Mus musculus: one gene and its partners. Each later gene encodes a partner of the first gene's protein in a complex. Links are inferred from orthologs where the notes say so. Each region holds a gene or a part of one and is shown in the gene's direction. Other genes may lie near its edges.

What was found.
Region 2: the proteins of Ap3b1 (region 1) and Ap3d1 are in contact, whole or in part, in a cryo-EM structure (PDB 9C5C), measured with the Homo sapiens proteins. The link is inferred for Mus musculus from reciprocal best matches to the Homo sapiens genes AP3B1 and AP3D1. Residues at the interface, in NP_003655.3 of Homo sapiens: Asn75, Lys466, Lys467, Gln470, Val494, Ala497, Ser498, Trp501, Leu531, Leu534, Gln535, Asn538, Lys542, Asn567, Tyr568, Asp569, Asp572, Arg573, Arg575, Phe576, Ile577, Gln579, Leu580, Lys586, Gly588, Ala589, Leu590, Ser591, Tyr593, Lys596; in NP_003929.4 of Homo sapiens: Lys352, Leu442, Ile446, Ser471, Tyr483, Trp487, Glu491, His517, Ala520, Val521, Gln524, Asn525, Lys528, Val561, Gln562, Ser563, Ala564, Leu566, Glu567, Gln569, Glu570, Arg571, Ser573, Cys574, Gln577, Leu578, His581, Ile582, Leu585, Lys588.
Region 3: the proteins of Ap3b1 (region 1) and Arf1 are in contact, whole or in part, in a cryo-EM structure (PDB 9C5B), measured with the Homo sapiens proteins. The link is inferred for Mus musculus from reciprocal best matches to the Homo sapiens genes AP3B1 and ARF1. Residues at the interface, in NP_003655.3 of Homo sapiens: Glu52, Asn54, Pro81, Val84, Lys85, Val87, Ala88, Asp111, Leu112, Leu114, Leu115, Ile117, Ser118, Thr119, Gln121, Arg122; in NP_001019397.1 of Homo sapiens: Glu17, Arg19, Tyr35, Ile46, Pro47, Thr48, Ile49, Gly50, Phe51, Asn52, Val53, Glu54, Lys73, Ile74, Leu77, His80, Tyr81, Asn84.
Region 4: the proteins of Ap3b1 (region 1) and Ap3m1 are in contact, whole or in part, in a cryo-EM structure (PDB 9C5A), measured with the Homo sapiens proteins. The link is inferred for Mus musculus from reciprocal best matches to the Homo sapiens genes AP3B1 and AP3M1. Residues at the interface, in NP_003655.3 of Homo sapiens: Leu60, Lys64, Val67, Gly68, Ile70, Ala71, Lys72, Gly73, Ile92, Glu93, Lys96, Leu97, Val100, Arg104, Glu107, Asn128, Gln129, Leu130, Arg137, Arg143, Ser163, Pro164, Tyr165, Lys168, Asn169, His172, Gln175, Lys176, Leu202, Ser206; in NP_001307192.1 of Homo sapiens: Met1, Phe15, Leu16, Glu17, Trp20, Lys21, Ser22, Val23, Gln26, Val42, Glu43, Asn44, Val45, Pro46, Pro47, Val48, Ser50, Tyr55, Ser58, Ile59, Tyr60, Gln71, Thr72, Glu73, Val74, Pro75, Pro76, Leu77, Phe78, Ile80.

The regions. Positions count from the first base shown.
Region 1 is NC_000079.6:94,470,333-94,474,019, forward strand, and holds part of Ap3b1 (AP-3 complex subunit beta-1), read left to right. Parts: intron 1-1,343; coding exon 1,344-1,530; intron 1,531-2,466; coding exon 2,467-2,597; intron 2,598-3,687. UniProt on the Homo sapiens protein: Subunit of non-clathrin- and clathrin-associated adaptor protein complex 3 (AP-3) that plays a role in protein sorting in the late-Golgi/trans-Golgi network (TGN) and/or endosomes.
Region 2 is NC_000076.6:80,718,139-80,721,825, reverse strand, and holds part of Ap3d1 (AP-3 complex subunit delta-1), read left to right. Parts: intron 1-185; coding exon 186-235; intron 236-657; coding exon 658-706; intron 707-2,013; coding exon 2,014-2,159; intron 2,160-2,437; coding exon 2,438-2,817; intron 2,818-3,687. UniProt on the Homo sapiens protein: Part of the AP-3 complex, an adaptor-related complex which is not clathrin-associated. The complex is associated with the Golgi region as well as more peripheral structures.
Region 3 is NC_000077.6:59,211,242-59,214,928, reverse strand, and holds the end of Arf1 (ADP-ribosylation factor 1), read left to right. Parts: intron 1-1,405; 5' UTR 1,406-1,441; coding exon 1,442-1,589; intron 1,590-1,675; coding exon 1,676-1,786; intron 1,787-1,983; coding exon 1,984-2,108; intron 2,109-2,233; coding exon 2,234-2,395; 3' UTR 2,396-3,517; downstream 3,518-3,687. UniProt on the Homo sapiens protein: Small GTPase involved in protein trafficking between different compartments. Modulates vesicle budding and uncoating within the Golgi complex. In its GTP-bound form, triggers the recruitment of coatomer proteins to the Golgi membrane.
Region 4 is NC_000080.6:21,035,378-21,039,064, reverse strand, and holds part of Ap3m1 (AP-3 complex subunit mu-1), read left to right. Parts: exon of another isoform or gene 1-138; intron 139-879; coding exon 880-1,087; intron 1,088-1,807; coding exon 1,808-1,952; intron 1,953-2,361; coding exon 2,362-2,462; 3' UTR 2,463-3,687. UniProt on the Homo sapiens protein: Part of the AP-3 complex, an adaptor-related complex which is not clathrin-associated. The complex is associated with the Golgi region as well as more peripheral structures.

The DNA.
Region 1 (3,687 bases):
TCCGGTGCAGGTAGTTTCAGCCGTGCAGCGCCCCATGTGTGAGCTGCTGCTGAGCTGCGTTTCTCAGGTGTCCGGGTACCGGCTGCTTGCCATTCTTTAAACAGGAACCATGGAAGTCTTTACTTAGGGATGAGGCAACACGGACAGCCGTAGTTGGTAACTAGATTCAGGAAAACCTGCAAGCATTTATAATTCCTTCTTAATAAACCCGTGTTAAGGCTTTCAAATACCTTGCTTCCAAAAGAAGCTTCCTTGCTCTCCTGGCCAGCCCTCCGCTGACTGTTGTTTAGGGCCCAACTGTCTGTCCCTGGTCTCTGCCATGATGTTCTAGCGGTGTCTTTGCTTCTCCCTGTTGATTGGTTCTATTGTCATTTGTTTATAATGTGTGTACCATTCTCTAATAGTACCAATCTTTGGTTATTTTCTCCTTATTTTATGACTTCCTTTTAGCTTTAATTTACAATTGTACACATGTAGATTTCTAAATTAAAATTGCCTTTTCATTTAAAAACACTGTAGTTTAAAATACAAACCTATTTTGTTATATTCCAATATTGTTTTAATTACTATTAAAATCATCTCAATATACATTAATGTAGTGCGTTCAGAAGTTGACTTAGCAAGCCTGATTATGGTGTAAAAGCTTACGTAAATAAATAAATGACCAATATTACTAGAGGCTATAAGCGGCATGGTGGAAAAATGGAAGAACTCTTTCATCCTAGTTTTTAGAGGGCATCAGCAGCTTTTATGAAAAAGTAACAGCTAAATGCACTGCAAATAATTTGCAGTGATCCAGTTCAGTGATTCATGTGTCTGCTTTAATGGGTCATAATTCAGGGGAAAGTAACGGAGTGCAGTCAGAGTGCAGACACTGCCTGTGCCAGGGACAGTATCTCTTCATAAAGCACACCTCAGGAGAAGCGGCTTGCCAGCCCCTAATACTCTCTGATGTTTTGATGTCCCGCATATTTTTCCGATTAAGTTTTGAGTGCCATGTTTTTAGTTGTATTTCCACATTCATTATTCTCACGTAGACCCTTCAGCGGGTTTGCCATATATGATTATTTTTTTAATGATGCCTTTCTTTCCACTTCAGCAGTTTAATAATCTAGCACATGGCTGCTTCTCAGAGCTCAGCATTCACCTCCCCAGCACAGAAGAGGACATGTGCATTGGCTACAGAATTCCATTTGCCACGTTAGAAATGCATATTCCCCATGGAACGACATTTGTTTGACATAACCATTCATTTTTATTACATCTTTAAATATGTTTATCCAGAGTTATCAATAATCATAAATAACCGTATTTTCAACTTGTTCTGTTTTTTTTTCGAACAGACAAAATTGCTTACCCAGTACATATTAAATCTCGGCAAGTATGATCAAAACTACGACATCAGAGACCGCACACGATTTATTAGGCAGCTTATTGTTCCGAACGAGAAGAGTGGAGCCTTAAGTAAATATGCCAAAAAAATCTTCCTAGCACCGAAGCCTGCGCCACTGCTCGAGTCTCCCTTTAAAGGTATCACGAGATGCATAGCTTACAGCACGCTGCCTACAGCGTGTCAGTGTGCCCATTCCCATGTGCTTCAGGCTTCCCTCTGAGAAACACGACTTCCGTGTGGGTGTGGGAGAACATTGTGATTGCACTTTTTCATCTCTTCACGGCAAGTTTTATTCTTATGTTTGTTAAGGTTTATTTTCCTGTAGACCTTGTTTTCCTAAATAGATTCAGGTTCTCTGGTTTTTATTCTCATTAGGCAGTTTAACTGAACGGTAGGTAGAATACCTGTTCTGTTCTTATAGCCATGGGCTTTATTTCTGCTTTAAACAAATACTTTTAGTTCCTGATACCTAATAATAGTGAGTTATTCATTAAATACCCATGTACACTAATGCCAGCGTCTCTAGAGATTAGTTCATACAGAATCTTTACATTCAAGTTCATTTTTCAAGGAAGGAGCTGTGTTCTTTTCCCCAGCTTTTTGTAATTAAATATCTTGTCAGCTAACAAGCAGCGAGTATGGTTGGGACCACGTGGCTCTGGAGCTTGGCTTCCACGTGGTTTCTTACTTAAGTGTTGTAAAACAGTAAATGCAGTTCTGTGTGGCACAGAAACCATTGAGATTCCGCGTGTGTTGTGCCGAGGCATGTATATGGATGGTTTAGCTGCGCTGTCATTCCTAATATTCACAGTAAAGTAATTTTTAGAGAAGCTACATTTCAGAGCAACACCTCCAAACACACTGACTGATTAGCTTTTTTATTGACCATTATGGGGGAGATTATTGTAATCTATGGGCTGAAATCAGTTTTCTGACCTATGAAGAGCTTCCTGGTTTATATTTATTCCTTGACATTTGTGGTAATATGCCAATTACCTTGAGCTCTGATATGATTGTCATCTGTTATATACAGCTCATATTGTTTATTTTCTATTTTCCTCCATTTTTAATAGATAGGGATCGCTTCCAGCTTGGCACCTTATCTCATACTCTCAACATTAAAGCGTCCGGGTACCTGGAATTATCTAATTGGCCAGAGGTGGCGCCTGACCCATCGGTTCGCAATGTAGAAGTAATAGAGTCAGTAAGTTGACCTTTCTGAGATTAATTTTGTTCTAACAATGAGAGCTTCTTGGGTAACTACCATTTTATAGAAAACCCTTTGGGCTGAAAACTGAGCGCTGTTCTTGTGTTTCTGAATGCAACGTGTTAGATACACCTTGCCTTAGAGGAACTGAGCACTGTGTTTCCTTGCCGCTGTACCTGCACTGTTCTCTGCTTCAAGGAAACAGAGAATTGAATTCTCTGCATCAGTGCCAGCCACATTTGTGCGATTGCATTTGTAGCTGTGTAGATTCAATTTCTAAGGTATTTAGTTTCAATGGATTGAGCTTTTTCTACTTTGTTGGAGATTCGTAAGCTTCCTGTCAGTGTTTTTATAAATAATTTTTGCTGTTCTTTTCGAGAAAAGAAAAACCTGTACAAAATGTACTGGGTTTTCTGATGAGCTCAGTTTTAGGTGATGCTTACAAATAAGCAGAGAGCGTTGTATACCAAAGATAACCTTGACAAGGTTACAGCTAGAAACGGATAGTACACTTTTTACATTTAAAAAATGCCAATTATGTTTTCTAAATCTTTTCTTAAATACACTGGATGTTAGGCTTGCATAATGGTTACTCTTTACTAGCATTACCTATTTATTGTTTCATAGTAAGTTTGATAATGAAAGATATTTTGCTTGTACCTAGAAATTGTGTGAATATATTCTTTGTTTTTTAATATAAATGGAGCAGGTGAGAATTACATTCTTAATGTCTTCCTCATATAAGTAGTGCAGTGAACTAGAAATTAGATAATCAGAAGCCTTTACCATTAGCTCTGGTCGGAAAGCTAGTTAGCTACCATTAGCTCTGGTCGGAAAGCTAGTTAGCTTCCTTGTTCTCTTCCACATGCAAAGGAAGGAAGTCACTAACTTTAAATATAATCCCGTTAATGAGCATAGCCATGCAATATGATTATGCTGAGAAACAGCTTTCTTTTGAATACAAAACTTACACTGGCTTTGAAGCATGTCTGGCAGCAGATAATTAATGTAGCTTAGTTCAGAGCCCCGTCAGTGACGTGTGGCAGGTACCAGTTTGTTTAAACTTCATAGTGGTACCCATATCCAC
Region 2 (3,687 bases), on another chromosome or scaffold:
TAGGAAGGATGGGAGACCCAGGCCAGATCCCCTGGCTTCCCAAGGTCCAACCTGTCCATCTGCCTTCTGAACGTGCAGCGTCAAGCCTCCTGTGAGCCAGTCAGCCAGGTCCCTGTTGGTGGGGTGGGTTAGTAGGTGTCAGTGTCTGACCCAGGGCTACTAACCTTGACCTCCATGTGTCCCAGTGCTCATCTCACTGTCTTCTGGGATGCCCAACCACAGCGCCAGCATCCAGGTGCGTCTGTCTCCGGACCTGTGCTCATCAGCACGAGTGGGGCTCCTCAGCCAGTCTGGAAATGATTGCAGTGGTCACTTCCAAGTTCATTTTTCTTGAACAGCTTGAAGCATGAAGAAAGTCCTCCAGCCTCAGCCCTCCCACAGGCACCTCCTTTCTCCACTGTACTTCTACCTGCCCTGTGGGGACCTAGTCAGCCTGCCTGGGCAGCTGCTGTGGACACTCTGTGCCCCCAGAACTTGCTCCCACATGTCCTCACTGGTGCCTGCCAGTCCACTTAGTCATGCTGAGCAGGGTCCCCAGAGCAAAGGCTGCAGTTACCTGCCCAACCTGTCCCCAGATGCATGCTCTTGGTCAGGGCTGGTGGTGGGCTGCTGGGCATGGTGGTGGGGTGCAGACCAGTGTGGCTTTCCTCCTCTCAGCTATGCGTTCAGAAGTTGAGGATACTGATAGAAGACTCCGACCAGAACTGTAAGTCACTGCTGCCTTCCCTGGCTGTCACACCTGAATGCCATGCCTGGGATTCAGAAATCTCACACTGGGGACCAAATGCTCCTGGGCCCTCAGCCCTCTGCTGTGCTCATGCTGATCCCGCTGGAGGGCTTTGTGGATAGAGTGGTAGCCCTCACCGCAGTCTGGCTAGCCTTGCCCTGAGCCCCAGGGAAGCATGAAGCAACCTACTACTGCCTTCCGTATGTCCCTACACTGCTCTCTGCTTAAACCTGTTCCAGAATGGGGGCTGTGTCAGTGTCATCTGCTGCTTACCAGACCAAGTGGCAGGCTGTTGTCTACAGTAGAGCCAGGCCTGATAGACTTGCTCATAGGGCCCAGGGGTTCTCAGTCCTACTTCACACCACAATCTCTCAGGAAAGCATCTCTGGGCCATCTGTTGATGTGACTACCTCAAAACCTGTCACAAGTGAGGCTTCAGGTGCACAGGTGTCATCTGTGGCTCCTGCTTCAGCCTCTCCATTTTTCATGAGGCCTGCACTGGGCCAGCAGTCACTGTCGTTTGGCTAGCAGTGACCTTTAGAGCTTGTGGGCAGGGTCCTCAGACACAGCATCATTGGAGTGCTTTTCTTTCTTTCTTCTTTTCCTTTTTTGGCTGTCCTAGAACTCAATCTATAGACCAGGCTAGCCTAAACTCACAGAGATCTATCCATCTGCCTCTGCCTCCTGAGTGCTGGGATGAAAGATGTACAACACTATTCCCAGCAGGGTTCTTTTTTTTTTTTTTCCTTTTAATAACATGTGTTTTTTGTTTGTTTGTTTGTTGTTGTTGTTTTAGGTTTTTGTTTGTTTGTTTGTTTTTTCAAGACAGGGTTTCTCTGTGTAGCCCTGGCTGTCCTGGAACTCACTCTGTAGACCAGGCTGGCCTCGAACTCAGAAATCCGCCTGCCTCTGCCTCCCAAGTGCTGGGATTAAAGGTGTGCGCTACCACGCCTGGCGAACAACATGTATTTTTAAGTTATTTGTAAGTTTTTGTCATTCATAATTGTGTGTCCGTGTGTGGGTCTGTGCTTGGGAAGGCCAGTGCCTGTGGAGACCGGAGCTTATAACACTCTGGAGCTGGGTTTACAGTCCTGTTCTTCCAGTCTCCAGAGGGCTGTGCCTGTAGACATGCTGTGAGAGGCTGGGTACAAGCCTCCACCGTGGCTTCCTGGGTGAGGTGGGGCTCACGAAAGTGGCCATCAGCTAAAGGCAGCACCCCTGATATGCCTGTGGGTCATGGTATTTCACTTGCTGTCCCCAAGCTAATGGCTACTTGGTCTTCACAGTAAAGTACCTGGGGCTGCTGGCCATGTCTAAAATCCTGAAGACACACCCCAAGTCTGTGCAGTCCCACAAGGACCTGATCCTGCAGTGCCTGGATGACAAGGACGAGTCCATCCGCCTGCGTGCACTTGACCTGCTCTATGGAATGGTATGTGTCCCTGTGGCCAGGATGGGGGGCCTGTGAAGCTTCAGTACTTGTCATTCCTATCCAGGCTGGGAGAGCAGCCTGAACCTGCTGCGGTCAGCCAATGGCACCTGTCCAGGATATAGGGGATGGAACTGGATACCAAATACGAGAGTCTCTGTCACTCTCCCTTGATCTGATACAGTTTTGCACTCTGGGGAGGAAGCTATCCCTCTTGGGCTCATGAGTTCCATCTTGGTTGTCAGTGTTCATGCCTGGCCACAGCTGCCTGTTCCCCACAGGTGTCCAAGAAGAACCTGATGGAGATTGTGAAGAAGCTCATGACTCACGTGGACAAGGCTGAGGGCACCACCTATCGCGATGAACTGCTCACCAAGATCATTGACATCTGTAGCCAGTCCAACTACCAGCACATCACCAACTTCGAGTGGTACATCAGCATCCTTGTGGAGCTGACAAGGCTGGAGGGCACCCGCCATGGCCACCTCATTGCTGCACAGATGCTGGACGTGGCTATCCGGGTCAAGGCCATTCGCAAATTTGCTGTGTCGCAGATGTCCTCACTGCTTGACAGTGCTCACCTGGTAGCCAGCAGCACCCAACGCAATGGTATCTGTGAGGTGCTCTATGCTGCTGCCTGGATCTGCGGGGAGTTCTCAGAGTGAGTCGGGGCAGCCCTTGGAAGTGGCCTAGTGTGGGGACATGTACGCAGACAGATCCTTTGCCTGACAATGGTCACTTCTGGGCAGCTCTGCCCAAGTGATCTCCTGTCTCCTTCCATGGAGTGGCGTGGACAATTTGGGTCACACTGGCTGTGGAGAGGAGGGTGCCTTGTAGACTGTGAGGCAGCTCACGTCTGCTTCAGGTGACTCAGCATACAGTGCTGATAGTGAGCTCCTCACGCCAGGCTCCCGGGCTGACTAGGTGGTAGGCTGCGGTGGCTACAGCACCTCCATTACACCTTACACCTGCTCAGAGGACACAGGACAGCTGTGACCAAGAGAGGTGTGGATTTGTTTTCAGTCTGTCACAGAACTCTCCTGGGGAGCACATTTCTCTGGAAAAACCACAAAATTTGCCCAGCACTTCCCTTGCCCCAGAGCTCAGCCCACGGAGGCTGTGTATAAGTTGTCCTTTGAGGATCCAGTGGGAGCCGCCTCTTTGAACCCCACAGCACAGCACATGGATGCCAGGAGAAGTTATTGATGAATGTTCAGTTTTTGTGGTGCTAGAAATCAAACCCAGGGTCTTGTTCCTATCAAGCAAATGCTCATTACCAGGAACAAATCAATGGCAACAAGTCAGCCATACAGATAACGTAGGTCCTCTGACCTGTGTCTACTACTAGTGGCAGTCACATCTTTGCTATTGTTTCCTTTTCCTTTTTTTAATTTTACATACTCACCATTGCTCTCTTCAGACACACCAGAAGACGTCAGACTCCATTGCAGATGGTTGTGAGCCACCATGTGGTTGCTGGGAACTGAACTCAGGACCTCTGGGAGCATAGTCAGTGTTCTTAACCGCTGAG
Region 3 (3,687 bases), on another chromosome or scaffold:
GCCATCAGGAGGAGGACTTTGCAAGTTCACACTCACTTTGCTACATGAGATTATGGCATTCCTCTCCTGAAGGATACGGCTGAAGACCTCACCTTAGAGTCAGACATCCAACCTGCCAGACCATGATTTGGATGTCTACTGTATCTGTTGTTGCCAAGTTGCCCACTGTATGATGTTCTGTTAAGGTAGCACTACGAGACAATTTATAGGGAAACTTTGTCATTCTTTTTCCTATGGGTCAGTAGCCTTGGATAATACCTAGGATTGACAACTCTTTCTGAAGGCACTGTGGCCTTCTATTTGCTTTTCTTATTAAGAGTTAACAATGAGCATTTGACAAAGCAAGCAGTAAATCCATTTGGATGAGAAGTGAAGATCAAAGTGGCCACCAGATGTTGAGACCAGACCTAGGGAAACCTTACTATCCTTCCCAGAAGCTCTTAACATTTGATAGGCCCTGGTACATTGGTACCAACTAAATTGCCTAGCGTTTCTTTTCTTCCAGTGGGCCTTACCTACTAAGTATGCATAGGCCCTTGCAGGGACACAGCTCACATTTGCCTGTCATCCTCTTATAGGAATGTGCTGCCAATGGTTTACTGTTTGAGTCTCTTTCTTCTTGCGACTTGAGATAGAACACTGTCTTAACATCTGTCTCCCATGACCTGGGCAGACAGAAATGCCTGGAGAGATGGCATCACAGTTCTTATGGGCTTGTCTAGTCTCGCTGTCACCAGGGGCTGGTAGAACATTTGGCTTGTAGTGTTGAGCATAGAGTGTGACTATTTCTTTAGTTGAAAATTGTGGATACTTTGACACTTTGAAGTAAGAATAGAGATGTAAGGTGGTTTTTTCTGATTTTGTGAAGAGCTCTGTTAGGTTTTAAGAGGCCCTGTGTCAGCCAGGCAGTGGTGGTGCATGCCTTTAATCCCAGCACTTGGGAGGCAGAGGCAGGTGGATTTCTGAGTTCCAGGACAGCCAGGGCTATACAGAGAAACCCTGTCTTAAAAAACCAAAAACCAAAACAAACCCCAAAAAAGGCCCTTTCTCTCAAAACTCTTTTTAGTGCCAGCTCCCGAGTGTGAGCATACTTGATTGTAGTTAGATGTCCCTTCATTCTGACAAGTGATTAGACTTGGGAGACAAGGGGTTGTTGTGGTATCTGCGTCTTCCTAAACTGATATGTGTGACCTTGGTGAGCGTAGGGAGTCTGGTGGGCAGGGGGCAGGGTTCTTTGCTGCCACCTGGGACCTAGGATTGAATTGTCTCCCATCCTCCCATGAAATTTCAGGAGGGATATGAGGACATGGCTTAGGGCAGGGGACTCCTACATAGGTGTCTCTGACCTGCCACAGGGCCCACACTGGCAGCACATAACAGTACTTGAACCACTTTTCTTTCCCAGGTCTTTGGCCAGTATCGATTCCACCTGTCCACAAACATGGGGAATATCTTTGCAAACCTCTTCAAGGGCCTTTTTGGCAAAAAAGAAATGCGCATTCTCATGGTGGGCCTGGATGCTGCAGGGAAGACAACAATTCTATACAAACTTAAGCTGGGCGAAATTGTGACCACCATTCCCACCATTGGTGAGAAGCTGGGCCCAGGGCCAGGGTGGGGGTTGGGTGTGGGGATCCAAAATACAGAGGCCCTCAGCTGCAGTCCTGCCCCCCAGGTTTCAATGTGGAGACTGTTGAATACAAGAATATCAGCTTCACCGTGTGGGATGTGGGCGGCCAGGACAAGATCCGGCCGCTGTGGCGCCACTACTTCCAGAACACCCAAGGTAAGCAGCCAGTCCTTGTCCTAGATTCCTCATATTTGCCTCAAAGGGATACAGTTGGTTCACTGAGCCTTGTGGTCTTTGCCATTTCAGGGCATGAAGCCACACCAAACATCACGGCCAGTGGAAGGACTGGATCTAGAACCTGTGGGGTCTGGTGGGGAGTGTTCAGTATGTGCACTAATGTGGCCATGTTTCAGGCTTGATCTTCGTAGTGGACAGCAATGACAGAGAGCGTGTGAACGAGGCCCGTGAAGAGCTCATGAGGATGCTAGCTGAAGATGAGCTCCGAGATGCTGTTCTCTTGGTGTTTGCCAACAAGCAGGTAGGCACCAGCAAGGTCCTTCCCTGAAGGAAAACCTGTATCAGGGAAGAAAGAGGAGGGGTGAAAGGCTACCCAGGGTTATTGGCTGTTTGTGGTCCCTGCCACTAATTCTTCCTTTTCCTCAGGACCTCCCCAATGCCATGAATGCGGCCGAAATCACAGACAAGCTGGGGCTGCACTCTCTACGCCACAGGAACTGGTACATTCAGGCCACCTGTGCCACCAGCGGGGACGGGCTCTATGAAGGACTAGATTGGCTGTCTAATCAGCTCCGGAACCAGAAGTGAACCAGACCCCTCCCTCCCCCTCACTTCCTCTTCTCCGCCCTCAGCTTTCCTCTCATGTGGCAAACGTGCGACTCTGTGGTCCTGAGTGCCAGAAGCTGTCTCCATGGGTTGGTCACAGTGTGCATCGCACCGTGCTGTACATGTGCAGACGCAGCCTGCAGCCAGGTTTTTATTTAATGTAAATAGTTTCTGTTTCCACTGAGGCAGTTTCTGGTACTCCTATGCAATATTACTTAGCTTTTTTATTGTAAAAAGAGAATCAACTCAACTGTCAGTACTGAGAAGGGATTTGGGTGTAGGGGCACCTGGCCTCCGGGAGCCATTGGGCTGTAGACTGGTGTCGGTATCCATTTGGTGGTTGGTTTTTAACCCAAACTCAGTGCATTTTTTAAAAATAGTTAAAAATACAGGACAAGAACACTTGAACACACAGAACGGAGACTATGCCTAGTGTAGGTTTTGCAGTTAATGGCCTGAATGCTAGATATCAGATCACCTGTTTCGCTGTGGGAACAGGAGAGAAGGTGATGAACAAACCACCATCCGCTGCATGGTCACAGTAGAGCCCCCGTGACTCGCCTGTCTTTGGGTCACCTGCATTCCATAGCATTGTGCTTGTACTTGTGCTCACACGGTTACCTAGGGTAGGCTGGGAGCCATTGTGGGGTGCAGGGCCTGGCTTGTACTTGGTGTGTGCAAGGCCCAATGGCAGCCTGCATACCCAGCCTACTCTTGGGCCCACTTGGACGCGCTGGCAGGAGGCCTGGGTCTCACCAGCAGGAGTGCGTGCAAGGTGGGAGGGTCGGTCCATTACAGACCCACATCCTGGAGCACCCCCATCTCCATGTGTGAAGTAGCTTCCTCCCTCAGCCTGCAAGGGTCCGATTTGCCATCGAAAGACGACCTCTACTTTTTTCTTTTGTATTTTGATAAACACTGAAGAAGCTGGAGCTGTTAAATTTATCTTGGGGAAATCTCAGAACTGGTTTATTTGGTGTCGTGGAACCTCTTACCGCTTTCAATACACAATTAGTAATCAACTGTTTTGTATACTTGTTTTCAGTTTTCATTTCGACAAGCACTGTAATTATAGCTGTTAGAATAAAGTCTCTTAACTATTTGATGGGCTTGTGTGTCAGTGCCACCACTGCCAGGCTTCTTCCTGAGATTGAGAGCCCTTTTCATGCTATAGGAAACAGGGAAACAGGTGCCCTTTAAGCCCTAGTGTAATCTGGTAAGATCTGGATGTCTTGACGTGCTTCTTTCCTTTCCTTTCTGTGACAGACTGGGGC
Region 4 (3,687 bases), on another chromosome or scaffold:
GTTTCATCTTTACAGTTTAATTCTTGAGTTTACCAATGTTTCCTTTAGCTGTGGCTCACCTGGAGACCTAATGAGAATTTTGTACCCAAAACAATTAGTGTTTCTGAACATGGAAGTGTAGAGAAGTAGTAAGAGAGAGTAAGTTAAAAATCTATGATTAAGACCAAGCCTTTGGACTGTGCGTGACCTGGGCAAACCATGAACTCAGTGCCTTAGTCTGCTATGTCTGTAAACAAACAAGACAGGATACCCTAAAACATCCCCTAAACTACCTGCTTCAAGTCACTGTTCTCTACATTGAGTTTGGGAGGTTGAAGTGGTTCTTGTTTTTAAAACAGTGTCTTATTTGTTACCTCAAACTGTGGATCCTCCTGCCTCAGCTTTCTGGGTGCTAGGATCATTGATATGTGCCACCATATTCATCTTGCATTGAGCTTTAAACAGTTTACTGTTGTCAGCTGGGGCTGACGTGTCCCTTAAAATTCCAGAAAGCATTTGGGTGATTAGACAAAACTGAAACATTTTTCTGAGAAAATATTTCTTAGTGCTTTAAATTCTTTTAATGGGCTCTTCTCTTTCTTTCTTTCTTTCTTCCTTTTTTTTTTTTTTTTTTTTTTTAGCTGTATCCCTTTATCCGAGTTGTTTATGTGATATTTGGAGGAGATTTCTGTTTGGGCTTATGTATTTGTTACTAACCCATACATTTCTAGCACATTGGTACCAGAACATTGCTGTCCTCAACCCTAGTGCATAGGCCTAATCTGCTAGGGCATATGGTCCTGTGGCACAGTTACAGACCTCGTAGGACATACACTACATCTGGAGTTGTCCCATACCTTTCATAATGTACTTTTGTACCTTTTTGTGTCTTTTTTTTAGTCTAGTGGCAATACCAGTGTATGTGAAACACAGTATCAGCTTTAAGGAAAACAGCTCTTGTGGCCGGTTTGATATAACAATTGGACCGAAACAGAATATGGGAAAAACAATTGAAGGAATCACAGTGACTGTTCACATGCCCAAAGTTGTGCTGAATATGAACCTGACACCAACGCAAGGCAGCTATACATTTGATCCCGTGACCAAGGTACAGGCACTTCGAAACAAGAATGAGCAAGTGTTCTGCAATCTATTTTGTGGTTGTGGGTGGAGGTCACAGTACTTAGGAAGCAGGGTCCTTGCCTTGCTTAAACAAGACTCTAGCCAAGGGTTTTCAGAGTCCTAGAAAAGATGATTTTCTCTTCGCTCCCTTGCTTCCTTATGTAGGAAATGTAAGTTTTCAGCAGAATAGAGTACTTGATAAATGAGAAGGTGTTTTGGTTTGGTTTGGATTGTGTTTGAAATGGAGGAGCCGGGCGTGGTGGCGCACGCCTTTAATCCCAGCACTTGGGAGGCAGAGGCAGGTGGATTTCTGAGTTCGAGGCCACCCTGGTCTACAGAGTGAGTTCCAGGACAGCCAGGGCTACACAGAGAAACCCTGTCTTAAACGAAAAAACAAAAACAAAAAAACAAACAAAAAAAAAGCCTTTCTGGGACCCTTTAAGTGTGAGGTGTGAGCAGGCGAGTCCACATCCTCACCTTCCAGCTGAGCTGGAGTCATCCTTCTGTCTGTCTGTTACTCAGCCCCACACACATGATTCTGCTGTGGATTCTGTAACTGAACATTTAGTGATTAGAACATAAGCCAGTTGTGTAGTCCTGGCTTCTGTTTTCTAAGACACTGCTTCATTTTGTGTAGTGTATAGCATCTGTTGACCTCTGAGCATGTCTTTAACACAGCTCAGGTATTTTCTCTTGTGTTTTTAAGGTACTAGCATGGGATGTGGGCAAAATTACTCCACAAAAGCTCCCAAGTCTTAAAGGACTAGTAAATTTACAGTCAGGAGCACCCAAGCCAGAAGAGAACCCAAACCTCAACATACAGTTCAAGATCCAGCAGCTTGCTATTTCAGGTAACACGTGTTTGCTGGGCATTGAGGGGAGATTGGGGCTAGGAGTCTGGAAGAGTACTAACAGCTCTACCCTAGAAGGAACAGCAGCTCCAGACAGCAGCCATTTGAGAACACAACTTAACCTCATGCTCTTCTGTCACACATACCTCACCTCACCTTCATTTAAGAGCCAGAGAAGCCCTCATTTGTGTTCAAAGAAAGTGGAACTAGCTAGTTTTGTGAGCAGAGGCATCTTAACCAAGGCCATGCTCCTTAGAGTACAGCATGTGGGGGATAGAAAAGGGATGTTGTTTCCACATGATGAATGGAGCACTGTGCAGTGTCACATCTAAGGCACAGTGTTCATTGTTACACAAGTACTGCATTATTACTCTGGTAGTAATGATTCGTTTCATTCTTTTTGACACAGGCTTAAAAGTGAACCGCTTGGACATGTATGGTGAGAAGTATAAGCCATTTAAAGGAGTCAAATATGTCACAAAGGCTGGGAAGTTCCAAGTGAGGACATGAGAAGAGGCCAAACTTGCTCAAGATCAGTTTGTTTTTTCAAGTGTCATTGCAATTTATTACTATTAGGTACCAAGTGGGTGGGAATAATATACAGCATTTGTGTCAAGCTACCCTGCTAACAAAGTTGCTTAGTAATTGATGTAGGGTTCTTACGGAGCTTTAAGCTAAGGAAAGTTTTCTAAAGACTTAGCTTATTTTGTATCTTTTCACTTAGGAAAAGGTTTAGATGATTTCTTCCATGGGGGCTACCAGCTGAATGCTGCACATTCTAACAGTCAAAGCAGAAGGCTACAGTGATATCCTCTCTCCTAAAGCAAGCCAACTGGTCTCATCTACCAGCAGGAACTGTCTCAGTCTGTGATGTGTCAGGTGCAGCCAAGTGTCACACCTTCTGATCTTAGCCATCTCAGTGTCTGTCCCAAGAGAGGAGATTGCCCCACCCCAAGAAGTTTACAGAAAACTGCCTCTTCAAGTGTTTGCCTTACTCAGCTTTTCACTTGTGCCATTAAGCAAGCACTGTAGCAAAAGCCACTTCCACATGGCCCTGGCAGGGAGCACTACAGCTCCGTGCTCCATTCTCACTGTACTTGGTATTATATTTTTTATAAATAAGATTTTTATGTAAAGCTCAGATTTTGATTTACAAGGACCTTGCTGCAGTAAATATTCCATCAATCTTGTGCCACTAGTTCAGCTGTTAAGATAGCACAGTCAAATCATTTGCATCAAAAGGGCAAATACTTTATTAAGACAACGAAAGGGAACACTACTTCTGTTGTTAGCGAGTTACTGCAGGCACAGCTGTTTGTGCTTTTAAACAAATTAAAGTAGTAAAAGAGAAAATCAAGCAAAACCTTTGCCATTCTCATGTTTTATTAAAGCTTTATTTAATGCCACTAACCTAATTAGCTTGAAACCCTAGTTTAGCTAAAGAAGGAAATCATGAGTTTCACTATGTTGCTCTTTTCAATCTTTGTGTGTTTAAATAGTTGAATTTGCTTGTGTGCCCTTCATTTGGGGGAGCGCCTTTCCATACTACATATATCTCCAGGCCATTGTGATGACACCTTCTCCAAACTCCTATCAAATTCGAGTGAAGCACTTAAGTGTCTTTGCCGTACTGCGTACGTGGAAGAACCATTCACGGAAGGACAGAGTCCTCAGTAACCATTTATACTAATTGGTCTTTACTCCTGAAAAGCCAGTCTGTGACTCAGGCCATTCT